Nothobranchius furzeri: one gene and its partner. The protein of the gene in region 1 purifies or fractionates together with the protein of each later gene. This does not show direct contact. Links are inferred from orthologs where the notes say so. Each region holds a gene or a part of one and is shown in the gene's direction. Other genes may lie near its edges.

Evidence for each region. The genes of interacting proteins can lie anywhere in the genome.
Region 2: the proteins of phf12b (region 1) and gatad1 purify together in Homo sapiens (affinity purification with mass spectrometry; 7 studies listed by BioGRID and IntAct, with this or other methods). This does not show direct contact. The link is inferred for Nothobranchius furzeri from reciprocal best matches to the Homo sapiens genes PHF12 and GATAD1.

What each region holds. Positions count from the first base shown.
Region 1 is NC_091753.1:61,665,439-61,669,632, reverse strand, and holds the start of phf12b (PHD finger protein 12), read left to right. Parts: upstream 1-1,388; 5' UTR 1,389-2,033; coding exon 2,034-2,099; intron 2,100-2,404; coding exon 2,405-2,586; intron 2,587-4,025; exon of another isoform or gene 4,026-4,036; coding exon of another isoform or gene 4,037-4,050; coding exon 4,051-4,123; intron 4,124-4,194.
Region 2 is NC_091759.1:18,088,359-18,091,875, reverse strand, and holds gatad1 (GATA zinc finger domain-containing protein 1), read left to right. Parts: upstream 1-1,217; 5' UTR 1,218-1,444; coding exon 1,445-1,639; intron 1,640-2,001; coding exon 2,002-2,124; intron 2,125-2,198; coding exon 2,199-2,258; intron 2,259-2,346; coding exon 2,347-2,530; intron 2,531-2,603; coding exon 2,604-2,794; 3' UTR 2,795-3,017; downstream 3,018-3,517. UniProt on the Homo sapiens protein: Component of some chromatin complex recruited to chromatin sites methylated 'Lys-4' of histone H3 (H3K4me), with a preference for trimethylated form (H3K4me3).

The sequences.
Region 1 (4,194 bases):
AATGACTGCTGGAGTTAGAAAGCCCCCTGCAACCCTGCTGATGAAAAGCAGTTAAGAAAGAGAGTGAGCAAGAGTTTTGTTATGAACCGCCTTTTTTATTGAATAATAAAACTCTTTCCTCAAAATAAAAAACATAGTGATAATGGATAGCCTGAACACTGAATGTAATCATTATGAACATATTTAAAGCTAATAAATCAAGTCGTTCTGGATAAAATCAACTAGGCCCAACCAGAAACTGTAGAAAGAGATCACAATCATTCCATCAGCAAAGCAACTAAAACATAACCCTATCCGGCTAAACGCTAAGGCGGTGGCTCCCTCTGCTGGTGAAGCAGAGAAACATCACCAGACCAAGGACGACCAGTTTCTGCATTGTCTGAGTTTCACCCAACAGTTTGCATAAAAATATACAAATTTTTAAATGTTGCATTTTTGGAGCTTTATATTGTCCTTCCTTTAGTTTAAAAAGTAAAATAAAAGTAAATTCATTCGTTTCGAATTAATTTTAGTTTGAAAACCGTCCCGATGTTTTCTAAATTAATAACCAACAATCTGCTTATTGTGTGGAAAAGTTCTGAATCTTTTCTTCAGCGATTCAATAAACAGTTTTAACAGAAACGGAAGTTACGGTAACATCGCGAATGAGTTACTTTCAAAATATAAGCAGCCCGTTCTGCTTCACATCGCACAGGAAACGTAACACAAACAAAACAAAGCTACTACATCAAGTTTTTCTTTGAAAACTTTCCTAAACCAAGCCTTTTCCAGAAAAGTTCAGCAACCTATTTCTGCTGATTCTGCCATTCCACTAAAAAAAGACAGTGAAGGTAACAGGTTCTTTCATGAGCTGACAAGAACTTTTAAAATGCCACTTTAGGTCACTTTCAATTATTTTTAATTATTCCAATTTCATTGTACTGAAGCAATTACACTTTCTCAGCAAGAAATTGACCACAATGTAGAATTGAAAAGTACTATATGTGTAATAAAAGTATTATATGTGAGCTAAACATAAACATGAAAACTGAGGTTCATGTTTATGGATCTAAATAATGTAACCCGGAAATTTTATTTTGAAGAAACTCAAAGGAACAATACCGTATTGCCGCGTGTTTGAGCGCACAACCAAAAGCAAAGGTTTTCCTGACCATTTTAAACATTCATTGATGAGTTTAAATAGCTGAAAGTATAATAGATGAAAATAAATTGAAGCTTCATTTCTTTACTTTTATTTTAACGCCTACACTTTCTCAAAGACCTTTTTTTGTGTGTTTTGAGGCTTGAATTTTTTTAACTGCTGCAAGAGCCTTTAATGGTCTACAACGGACTCACACTTCGTTACACTCATTACAATATTAGTATCGTTACAATGTTGTCCATTTCTTTCCTTTACCAGTGCGCATGCGCGTCTGGCGGTTCGCGGTTGCGCCAACTGGTAGGATGTTGCTAATAGCCCGTGTAGATGCACAGCCGTTCCCCACAACAATAACATCTAAATTTGCATCTTCACACCCTTGAATCGAGTATTACATTTTCTAAACGCGCTCGGAAGCTGTGTTTTGGACCGAGGCACGCCGAACTTCAAAGTGGATTGTTTGGTTCTTTATTCTGTGGACAATGGGAGCGGAGGGGTTTGCAGATCTACAGGGCTCCCTTTTGCAGGACCAGAAGCGAGAATCATGGCTTGCCAGCTAGGCCGCCGATGGATTTTGTCGCCATGAGCAAATATCCATTGATCATCAAATACTGGATGTATTTTCGGTGATTGCACATAAAAGTGGTGCTACCAGGCTCGCGTCTTTCTCTGACTTCTTCTGTTGATAAGACCGAGCCCGTTAGCTTCACAACCTTGACTGGCTGACGTCTTGCGCGTCGTAGTTAGCTTTTTAGCTAGCTAGTGATAGCTAACCATCTTGCCGCTGGCCACAATCTTTAGGAATTCAACATTTTTGCGGGATTAGCACTCACTGCCGTGTATCTCAAGGAGATCAAACTTCAAAGTCTTTCCTGCAGCGTTTGCTTCTGAATGAATGTGGGACAAAATGGAAACTCCGACGATTGTGTACGATCTGGATACCTCTGGGGGCTTAATGGAGGTGAGGTTGCTACGTTTGAAGGCCTCAGTGGAAAGATTGAGCTTTTCTAGCACTCTGGTTGTTTGATGTTGTTTTACTTAGGGTAGTTATGGCCATTATAGCGTTTTTACGAGCGACTTGGTCAGTAAAGTCTGGTTAGGGTTTGTGATGTGCTCTCAAGTTGGTGGTGTCTCTCGCTTAGTTCTATGACCGAAGACTTGGTTGTTTATTTTAATAAACAACCAAGTCTTCGGTCATAGAACCTGCATTTTTTTACGTTTTTAAATTTCCTGTGTAAATGTAACCGCCCTGGTTTCATTTTACAGCAAATCCAAACTCTACTCGCGCCTCCAAAGTCCGAAGACGTGGACAAGAGGAGTCGAAAGTTGGTGAGAGACGTCCGGAGGAGCGGCAGAGCCACCAACCACGACACCTGCGACAGCTGCCGGGAGGGGGGAGACCTGCTCTGCTGTGACCACTGTCCCGCAGCTTTCCACCTACAGTGCTGGTGAGTGCTGGCTAGCAGCAGCAGCTCCGCGCGCTGTGGTGCTGCTTTAGCTAGGCGGTGAATGCTAACCATGGTGGGGCTGTAGATGCTAACCATGGTGGGGCTGTAGATGCTAACCATGGTGGGGCTGTAGATGCTAACCATGGTGGGGCTGTAGATGCTAACCATGGTGGGGCTGTAGATGCTAACCATGGTGGGGCTGTAGATGTTAACCATGGTGTGGCTGTAGATGTTAACCATGGTGGGGCTGTAGATGCTAACCATGGTGGGGCTGTAGATGCTAACCATGGTGGGGGGCTGTAGATGCTAACCATGGTGGGGCTGTAGATGCTAACCATGGTGGGGCTGTAGATGCTAACCATGGTGGGGGGCTGTAGATGCTAACCATGGTGGGGCTGTAGATGCTAACCATGGTGGGGCTGTAGATGCTAACCATGGTGGGGCTGTAGATGCTAACCATGGTGGGGCTGTAGATGCTAACCATGGTGGGGCTGTAGATGCTAACCATGGTGGGGCTGTAGAAGTCAGTTCTGCTCTGAATTACAGGAATTCCGTTATGACCCAACGGCTCTGGGACTACCAGCTGCCTGTTGGTGTTGAGCACATAATCTCTCTGTGAACGAATAAAGTTCCCTCTGCATTATCGCACACACCGGGGGATGTTGTCACGCCTATTACCTAGCTTGTTATAACCAGACGGTTGATCGTAACTTCGATGATTGCTCCAGAGGTGTGTTATTAAGGTTTGCTCTCTGCGGTTTAAACGAGGCAGAGTTGACTTGCAGTCGGTCCTCCTCTCCTGCTGCTGCTGCTGCTAAAAATGGAGTCGAGGCTGCCTCTGTTTACAATATGGCGACTTCTCTGCTCTCTTCAGCGCCATCTTACCAACCTTTACATTTCGGTGCCGAGGGGCGAAAGGTTTGCGAATAGCATTAAACCGGCGGTGTGGTTTTGTGAGTGTGTAGCGGTTGTTGTTGTTGTTGTTGATCGCTGTGACACTTCCGGTGGCGCATCAGGAACTTCTGCTTAATCACATCTGGTTGAGGAGTTGCGTTTTGGCTGTCACCTGGAAGCGATTTGACTATATTTGGTCATGGCGGTCAGTGGCAGGCTGATCTGGGACGTGACAGGTTGTGCTGAACTGTTAAACCAGCTGTGAACACGGGAATTTCCCAGCTATGCGTGATAACCCCGCACGGTAACGTGTCCCACCGCTGATGCGTTTCAGATGCCTCTGATTATTATAGAGCAGTTCCTAGATCAGCTGCTTTCATGTGGAGGAACTAGTTTTATACATATTCTACTGTAATGGCATGATCCGTCCACCAGGGGGAGTCATTGCTGGGAAAAGGCCTCCGAGTGCATTTTCAAATAGATTTGGTTTGATATTCAGTTTAAATCACGTGACTGAATGGACAGTTATCATTTCCTCCTTCAAGCCTGATGGTTTATGCTTGTTTATAGTAACCCACCTCTGAGTGAAGAGATGCTCCCGCCAGGTGAATGGATGTGTCATCGCTGTAACGTTAGAAAAAAGGTGAGTTGCAGGTGCGCCTGCACGATTCTTTTTTATTAGGTTAAGTTGTGATCCATCTTTGAGATGTTCGG
Region 2 (3,517 bases), on another chromosome or scaffold:
TCTTCGCCGTCTTCAATTTCTTTGGTGGTCTTTACGTTGAAACAGCGCCTCCCGCTGGAAAGCAGGAGTATAACCCAGCACAAAAGATGTTATTTCAAACAACACTGTATATTTAGATTAAATTTAATAAATAGTAATTAAATTTTACCCTGATACTATATTTGTATTTTAAAAAAGTACCTGACAATCATTCCAACCAGCTCTTGGGAAACGGTCAAAACAGAACCATGCTTGAGAGAAACAACTTTCAGCTTGTTTAAAACTATTATATTTAATATAATATAATTTAATATAATATACTTAAATATACAAATGAATAATCTCGAATAAACTCTATCATTATTTTTGCCATAGTGAGGCAAAGGAAATGGAACTCTTTTTATTTTGTTTGCATTTGTTTCTATTCTCCATGAATCACAGGTCCTAGTGTAAAAATGTGTTTGTTAGAATACAGTAAAATAAACTGCAGAATTGTTTATAAAAGTAAACAAAAGTAATTAACATTATTTTAGTTCCTCAAAGGATTATACCAATTTTCTAAAAACTTTTAAGGAAATCTGTAAAAAATATGAAATACATTAAAAAACAGGAACAACCACCACTACTACTCTGCCTCCTCCTCCTCCTCCTCCTCCTCCTCCTCCTACTACTACTACTACTACTACTACTACTACTACTACTACTACTACTACTACTACTACTTCTACTACTTCTACTAGCTACTACTAACAATAAAAATATTAATAATTTAAATAATTTAAAGTAGAAGACGTTTTATTTGTCTGTTAGTGGGGAAAGCCAGTCTTTCAATCAGCAAAAACCTGTAAAAATAAAGAGTGAAAAAGATACAATCAAAGGCATGGAAAGTAACAACTTTGTTAAACAGATAATAATCAAATAAACGGTTATCTCCCATTGTAATAATAATGATAAGAAGAAGAAGGCCGCTGCTTCAGCACTCAATAAGTTAATTCCTATATCAATCCAAACTTTTTAAACATGTGAATGAGTGATACTAGTGATCAATAGTTTATTATTTTAATCCTGAAAAAACACAAAGTTGTTGTTCATGCACTCATATCTATTTTAACAACGATAATAAGGAAATACTGACTCACATTTAGCTGCCCCAGCCCAGCGCCCGACGCAGTCCTCCACACCAGTAGGCGGCGCTTGACTTCAATAGTTTTCCGACCTCAGAACAAAGGAAACGCTGAAGAAGAACCTCCGCGCTGAAAGTAGAAACAAGTCAGTACATAAATAATGCTGCTTTAACTTCGTTGTGTTTTAAGGCTTTTTGATGTCTTTACGGTTATTTTTGTTTGATAATCGTTGGCGAAATATGCTAAAGCTACATCCGGTCGTGATCTGGTAATAAGCCAAGCAGCTGCGTTTCTGTTGTGATCGTTTTTACGTACGGAGGCATCGTTCTCTAGCCGGTAAAATGCCTCTGGGTTTGAAGCCGTGCTGCTTTGTCTGTAAGACGAACTCTTCCTCAATGTGGAAGAAAGGCACCCAGGGTGAAATACTGTGCAACAACTGCACAGGGAAGAGCAGCAGTAGCGGCGGCGGCGGGGGAGCTTCGGGACCCTCCTCCATATCAACCATCACACAGCCCAGCAACGGCGGGGCCAAGCAGGTCAGAAACACCGAAGAGAAACGCCACGAACAAAATCCGAGAGTTCATGAGGAATTGTTAGTTTTTATGTCTTATTTTAGTTAATTTTTAGAAAGCGTACACATGACTATAACATCATTGTTTTTGCTTTTCTTTAGTAGTGTCTTGGTGTAACAACAGCGCCCCCTGGTGGCCATGAAAATGTTTCTAGAAAGTAAACTGGAATAAAATAGTTTGAAAATAATACTTCATGTCATTTTTTTAATAAAATAATTTTACCATTTAGTTTAATATTTTTAATTAAAATAAACTGATTTATAGTTTTTTTTTCTGCTGAAAAAATGCCATCAGGAGCAGAAATATTTAAATGTGTCCATTTGTAGTCCAAACAGGAAATCCACAGGAGGTCTGCACGGCTGAGAAGCACCAAGTACAAAGCTCCTGCTTCTGAGAAAAAAGTGTCAACAAAAGGAAAAGGAAGAAGACACATTTTCAAGCTCAAAAATGTAAGTTTCTGCTTCTTTAATGTATTTATTTCTGATATCTTTTATTTGACCTCATCCAAATTATTTCCTCGCAGCCTATCAAAGCACCAGAATCCGTAGCAACAATCATCACATCAGAATCTATATTTTATAAGGTATGATTCTGATTCGTATTAAACTAAAAGGCATCGTAATGATGATACTTTAATCTTTTCTTCTTCCATCCTGTGTTTGTATTTGCAGGGCGTTTACTACCAGGTGGGCGATGTGATCAAAGTGATAGATGAGGAGGATGGAAAGCCGTACTACGCTCAGATCAGAGGATTTGTGCAGGACCAGTACTGTGAGAAAAGTGCAGCACTGACGTGGCTCATTCCCACTCAGGCCAGCTCGAGCGATCAATTTAACCCTGGAACGTACATCGTCGGTAAGAACTGTGGCTAAATAAAGGATTTTTTTTGTGAGTGATTTATCTTATTTCGCTTTATTATGTTTATCAGGACCAGAGGAGGATCTACCCAGAAAGATGGAATACTTGGAGTTTGTGTGCCACGCCCCATCGGAGTATTTCAAGTCTCAGAGCTCCCCATTCCCCACCATCCCCATATGTCCTGAAAAGGGTTACATCTGGACCCACATAGGATCCACACCAACTCTTACTGTCAAAGAGTCTGTCAGCAGCGCGAGCTAACAGGACCGATGTGGACTTGGCCTGTTGCCTGTTGTTGTCAAACAGATAAATGTACATTTATGTAACATAGAGAAAATGGTTGCGGACGGCAGCCACTATTTCAGTATAAAGGAAAGTTGCAATTTGATACTAGATGGACGGCGTATACAAGTTGTTTACACATAACTGCAATATTGGAATAAATTTGCAAATAAAAAAATGTGAAAAAACCCTTCAAGCATCAGTTTTGCCTGTTATTGTTGAAGAAAGTTTGTGCAAGAATTTCAGTATCCTGCAAATAATATTATTTTGTTATTTGGAAATGAAATGTTTAGTTTTTACTTCTTATTTACATTCTATAGATTTAAAAACACCAATAAATAATTTAAAACGGATTTGTTTATTTTATAATAAATCAATTACAAAAAATGTATTTTTCAATTTTACTGAATGCAATATTTATGAATTTATAAATAGAAAATGGTTTAATTAATCGTGTCTATCAAATGTAATACAGGTCCAGATATTAAAACCAAGCTTGTGAATAATAAACTGGTAAAACTGTACAATAAGGGTCCCTTTATTAACATTACTTTCTGCATTAATAAACTATTAAAGTTAACAATATTACGTCATGCATTACTAAGCAGACACCCCCTCCCCTCCCTTTGTCCCAACCTTAAGGACACTTAATAGTTAATGCTAATTAAGCGAGCTTTTATTAATGCTTAATACACTGTGTAA